Saccharomyces cerevisiae S288C: one gene and its partner. The protein of the gene in region 1 interacts with the protein of each later gene in a biochemical or structural test. Each region holds a gene or a part of one and is shown on either strand. Other genes may lie near its edges. The genes, in order: YGL108C and PFA4.

The links.
Region 2: of the proteins of YGL108C (region 1) and PFA4, one has a biochemical effect on the other in vitro, tested with the Saccharomyces cerevisiae proteins (one study listed by BioGRID).

What each region holds. Positions count from the first base shown.
Region 1 is NC_001139.9:302,849-305,811, reverse strand, and holds YGL108C (uncharacterized protein), read left to right. Parts: upstream 1-1,740; coding exon 1,741-2,163; downstream 2,164-2,963. Other genes in the region: RMD9 (Rmd9p), read left to right, coding at 1-1,479; CUE3 (Cue3p), read left to right, coding at 2,401-2,963.
Region 2 is NC_001147.6:321,098-324,869, forward strand, and holds PFA4 (palmitoyltransferase PFA4), read right to left. Parts: upstream 1,898-3,772; coding exon 761-1,897; downstream 1-760. Other genes in the region: transcriptional regulator SIN3, read left to right, coding at 1-451; IZH2 (PAQR-type receptor), read right to left, coding at 2,314-3,267. UniProt on the Saccharomyces cerevisiae protein: Mediates the reversible addition of palmitate to target proteins, thereby regulating their membrane association and biological function. Palmitoylates several amino acid permeases.

The DNA of each region.
Region 1 (2,963 bases):
ATTCATCTGCTGCATAACGGTCTGAGGTCGACGAGAGACCAATTGGTAAAATTAAGTAGAAAGCCAGACTACGATTCGCAATCTTTTCACAAGGAAATGATGAACTTTCTATGTAATTCATTAAAGGATATATCTGATGACATTTTGATAGGCAAGGTGTCTGTCAGCGGATATGGAGCTACTCATCTATTGACTTCATTTAAAGAGCTGTCATTTGACGATGACTGTATTCGAATTTGGGAAGCGTCAAAGAATTTGTCCGACGAGACTACTTCACAGGCATTCCAAGAACCAAAAGTGGTTGGTTTTATGCTGCCATTACTTTATGCAAAAACGCGTTCTCTGACTGAGCCTAACGAGCTATATAACCAAATTATTCAATCCAAAGAATTTATCCATCCCAATCTTTACAGCGGACTGATAAAAGTCTTCATCAAGGCGGAAGACTACGAAAAGGCATTATCCCTCTTCGGCCAATTATGTGAAAAGGCTGAAGTGAGGAATTACGGTTATTTAATTGAAACGCACTTAAGCTTCATTGGTGATTCCAAGAATTTAACGTTGGCAGAAAGTTTCTTTGACAAAATTATCAACGATGAAATGCCATACAAGATTATTTTACAAGTCTCTACAGTGAACTCTTTTTTGCAGAATATATGGAAAGCACAGAACGATTTTGATCATGTTTATAGAATATGGGAAAAGGCTGTAAAATTTTATGGTAACACTGTTAATCCTGGAATTTTGTCCTCACTAAACAACACTTTTTTCACAATATTCTTCGAAAACTATATTAATGACAATATCAATGGTTTCCGTAAGCTTCAAGAAATCATAACGTTTTACAGTGGGGTCAAAAAAATTGATGAACCATTTTTTAACGTTATGTTAACTAGAGCATCTATCTGGCACGAACGCAGCATAATCGATTTTATCGATAAAAACTATACTTTGTACCATATTCCAAGAACTATTATATCATATAGAATACTACTGAAATCATTGGGAAGCATAGACAACACGAATAATGAAGAGATTCTGGATAGATGGCTGGAGTTGGTCAAGAAACTGAATGAATTGGGCCAACAATATATAGCCAATGCTGATCTGTCCGCTTTGAGGGATGCCACTGTCGTATGGTCACAATCAAAGAGGGATGAAAAGGTCTTTTCTGCAAAAGCTAAAGGAACACCAGCAACGACTACGACCACAGAAGACGACATAAAAGTTCCGAAGCCATTGGAAAATTTGAAAAATGAGGATTCTACTTCGAATTCAGAAGACAGAATAGAGCTGTACTTGAAAATATTAAAAAGATATACGCCCTACTTTCGCGCTACCAAGCAAGTATATAGGTATACCACTGGATGCGCAGAGTCATACCCAATATTAAATGAGTATCTGAGCGGTTATTCTGACTTGAGTGCCGAGGACATTCCTGTTCCTCAACTACATAGCTTTATTGCTAAGGAGCAATAGTACTAGCGCATTCATTCTCCCCATCTCAATTTATGCATGCTTGTAAATAAACATTTAAACGTATAATATATAAGATCGAATCTTCTATGATCAAGAAATGTGTATATTTTTTTCCCTCATGTAATCAGCGATTTTTTCCCTCTAGAAAAATAAAAATGAAAAGGATAGGCATAAGACTATATAAAAGCGGTCTATAATTATCATTAACATCATCCAGGAAATTTGCACCAGCAAACAACAACAAATATTTAAGTACATAGTATGGGGCTTTGCGGAAGTAAAACCCAACCAATGCCTTCACAAACTACGACGGTGGCAACTAAAGCAAGAACAAAACCAATTAATCGTGATACAGTCAAGTCAAAGCAAGAACTTCGACATAAAGAGAAGAAAGATAAAAAGAAGAAGACACAACTAAAGAGTACAACTGTCCCGGTTGTGCAAAGGAAAGAAGGCAGCAAATTAACTGATACAAGTGATCCGAGCAAAAATAAAGTTAGCCCAAAGGAGGCCGCAAGGTTAGCTGCTGAGAAGAGATTTCAAGAGACGAATGAAAAGTACAATAAGGGCGAGTTAGGCAAAAAGCTAGCTCAAGAGCGTGCCAAGTCTCATAAGACTCGCTTAATGGAAGAGGCCGAGAAAAAGCATGCTGAGAGGGAAAGGGAAAACATGATTTATGACTGAGAGAACGACGGCAGTAATATTGTAATGAATCAATATATGCAATTGTACAAGAATTTTTTTGTTGGCCTTCCATTCTCCTCTTGGCTTTGTAACGTTTATATACCTGAATATCTGCCAATGGATTTTGCGCGGCCATAGAAAAAATGAAAATATAAAACACTAGTTCTCATAAATGAGAGACATTCGAGTTAACTATTGAATCTTGGAAATTTTTATAGGATAGAATCACTAAGAATAATGTTATCAAGGTACAACCGCGTTATTGAAATAAATGGGGGTAATGCAGATATTTCTCTGCCCATTGTCAAATTTCCACCGTTTAAACTCAGAGCTCAATTAATTGAAAAGGACCCCGTAGTATGGCTGCATCTAATAGAAACCTATGTAACGTATTTTGAGTATTTGATGCAAGGTGCTAACGTTGAATTATTAGATGAATCTACACTTGATCATCTTCGTTTATTTTTGAGAACTTACTTGCATGAAATTGCTGATGAGGAAGGAAAGTTATTAAGTCTCGGTATCAACCATGATGTGTCTGAACAGTTATATTTACTAAAAGGCTGGATATTTTCATTGATCAAGAAATGCGGGTTATTACATCTTCAGATTTTTGGTGACTCCCTGTGGAATTTGATCAAAGTATATGTTAGACGTAATCCAGATTCTATTCGTGGTTTGATCGATGGCTCATTGAAACCACGGATCAACACGCAACGTGTACAATTGGACAAATCGTACCAAGTTCAACAGCATTTGAAGCAGTTAATAGAATCTGGAAAATTTAAAAGAATAGATTT
Region 2 (3,772 bases), on another chromosome or scaffold:
GACATTGAAAATTAAGATCCAGCCTATAACCTACCAACTGCATATTGAAAACGGGTCTTACGATGTTTTTACCCGTAAGGCTACTAACAAATATCCTACTATTGCTAATGATAATACTCAAAAAGGAATGGTTTCTCAGAAGAAGGAGTTGATATCAAAATTTCTAGACTGTGCAGTTGGTTTGAGAAATAATTTAGATGAGGCTCAAAAATTAAGTATGCAAAAAAAATGGGAGAACCTAAAAGACAGCATAGCAAAGACGAGTGCTGGAAACCAGGGAATAGAGAGTGAAACCGAAAAAGGTAAAATTACGAAACAGGAGCAGTCGGATAATTTGGACAGCTCTACTGCAAGTGTACTGCCTGCATCCATTACTACTGTACCACAAGATGATAATATAGAAACGACTGGGAATACTGAATCTTCAGACAAGGGGGCTAAGATTCAATAAGTAGTTTTAACTAGATTTAGAACAAAAATCTTTAGTACGACAGGGTCTTTCTTCTGATGTGTACCTTTAATTAATGTCAACGATATAACATTGTAATTTTAAAATTCTAAGTGTTTTTGAAGCTTTTTAAGACACATCGATCTTTCCATAAAGGAAGAAGTGATAACATGCAGTGGTTATATTTGTGTACTCATACACTGGTGCATGAATCTTTTTACACGTCATTAGCATAGTATGTAATCGAAAGGACACTATTTATAAGGGACAGTTTATACATACATATACTTGATATTCCCATGAATGAGTATTCTATTCCATATCAACATCCACTCCAAAATCGTCTAGTGATTCACCCCAGTCGTTGTACCACTTCTCACGAGAAGCATGTCTGCCATTTTGAGGAAGTCTGGTCCTTATTAGCTGTTCGCCACTTTCATTACGCATCTCTATTGTTGAGCTGCCATGATTGAAGACGGTGTTTGTTTTACCTCCATCTGGTGGCCAGGGAAGTGAAAGGATGTGGTCTTCCAATGAGGAGTTAGCCTCATATTTTGAAATACCGTTTTTTGGAAAATTGTTCCCATCTCCCGTAGGAACACCATATGGCCATAACCATAAATGAATGGGACCAAGGTACAGTAATGCATTAGTGTACAAATCAAAATCGTAAGGGAAATTTACAAGTTCATCAAAACGTGGCCTTTTTTTTGTCAAGTGTTCCTCAGCATCCTTTTTATTTTGAAACGACCTCGACTCTGGATATATTCTCCAAGTATTATCAATTAATTTCTGAGTTAATCTTCCGGAGTTGAACAAAGATTCTAGCCGATCCATATCCCACGACTCAATTTGAGATCTTCCATTCAAGATTTGATTGAATAAACATCGTAGGAAAAGAATTGTTATCGTTAGTAGGACAAAAGAATTTAAAGGACTCGATATTGTTAAGAAAATCAGTTCTGATTTTTTGAAGAAGTAGCCAGGCAAGTGCCTTTGTTGCCAAATAAAATATATCCGCTTAGCTTGTATGCAAAATAAAACACTAGTCGTCACTATGATCCAAAATAAGAATCTAAGGAAATGCGGATAGTTTGCAAAGCCGACGCAATTCATCGTCCACGGACAATGATGATCCATCATTAGGACGCATTGATTGCAGGTTTTACAATGATGTGAACGTTCTGGCTTATAACTTTGGCACTTCTTACAGAAATTCCGCCAGATATCAGGGGGTGGTTTGTAGTTGGGCAAAGGCCTTCCTGGATTTGTGCAGATGGCCAAGTAATAGGAGAGCCATATCATTGACAAACAGAACTCAAATGTTATTTGTTTCGGAACTGACAAGAAATTGGATAAAATAAAGTAGTGTGCACCATAGCCTATAAATGAAATCAGAAACGTTGGTATAGCAATTCCTAACCAAGGCCACCTTAACTTTACTGGCATGGTTTAACGATCAACTCAGTTTTTAAAATTCATGTTATACACCATCACCACAATGTAGGGACGATAATTATCGTATCTCAGATCCGCTATTTTTCATAAGCGCGTAGTAAGAGAGGTAGGTTTAACAGGATAATAAAAATATACATGAGACAGCCAATAAATAGTGGAAATAAGCCGTATTTTAAATTGAGAGCTCTTAGTAAGAAAAATGTTCCTCTGAGACGCTAAAGTCGTGTATATTTCATATGAGAAAGTGCACAAATCCTGCTTCCCTTCTATCTGGGAATTTCTTTTCTATATTTGAACATATTATTGTAAGGGCCTTTTTCTTTATTCTCTTCTCACATATAAGAACCATTTTATTATTTTAACTTTAAAACTACTTTCTATATAAATCCTACGTTTTTTCCAAATATCTAGGAGACAATCCCGTTCTCCATCTTTATATGGACTAACTCATAACTATTTAATAAACCTCTCAAGTGGCACAATGCCGCAATAACAACTAGAAAATGGAAAAGTTGGTGAGAATGACCCCAAATATCAAATTTACCGGGGCAAATCTTTTCAGGAAACCGCATTCCATAAAGAACAGCGCCAATTATATATAGGACACCCCCAAGTAATACCCAAAAGAGCTGAATTTGGGTCCAAATTTCTGAAAAACTATAGCAGTAAAGGCCGCTGAATATTGGAATAATTGAGGATAAACCAAAACAAACAAATAGCCCAGCTCTGTAAGGTCTCCACTCTCTTTTCCGAAACTTATCTTTTAGTGACACAATACTACACGCGATCCCAAAGCTAACGGTAATAAGCGCAAATAGGCAAAATAGGGAAAATTTCTCAAAATAGCCGTAGTACAAAATACTGACCATTGACGTAACAATCAATATACAAATACCAAGGTAGTCCAACTTATTTCCTAAGGTAGCAATTCTTAAGGAGTGACTCTTTAGACAATGAAAGGAGCTACTCAATATTAAACATGCAAACGCCCCCGAATAAAAGAGGTCGATTACCATATGATCTAGCCATGTAGTTGTTGCAAACACTTTGATAGTAGATTTATCTAGCAACAGTACAGTGAAGAACCCGAGAGCAGGAATTAAATGTGAATAAATATTGACACTTTCATTATGCAAATAAAACAAACTTTTAAAAGTTTCAATGAAGCTACTAGTTTCTTTCACGTATCCATGTAAAATAAAATCATTGTCTCTTTGCCATTCCGGAATTTCATCCCAACTATATAGCCTTCTTAGTACTTTTTTAGCTTTAGCGACCTCTGCGGGATTTGCGGATGTTTTCCCTGCAGCTCTCTTCTTCAGCTCTTGCACACTCTTAGTCCTTTCTAATAAAGTTGACATTTGGAATGATTCTTCTCCAACATGCAGCATAATTAAAACGACGGGAAATTTAGTACATTTGGCTCAAGGAACGCTGACATAAATACTATTTCTAATCTACTATTCGAAGAGATGTTGGATTTCTAAAAAAAAAAGAGCTCAACAACGGAAGACCGCCTATTAACCCCGAGTGTCTGTTTTTTAGTATACTCGAAGCAAACAAGAAAAGTTTGTTACTTAATTTCTGGCCTAAACAAGGTAGTGCTACCCTAGAGGAAGTACGATATCAGTACACTTTTGTATTTTTAACGAATTATGGTATTCTTTAAAATATTTAACATGCTATCGAGTTTTTCTTTCTAAAATGCGGTTTCAAAATTTGAGTCCGCTTTCTATGGAAAATATGAATGAGGCGAACGTGCTTGTACCATAGTCAGATTTTAACCCGTAGGTGAGAGCCTGAGGCTTCTGTAAACCACCTTGGAAACACATACGGGTTATAAGATTTTAACAAACAATCAGTCTC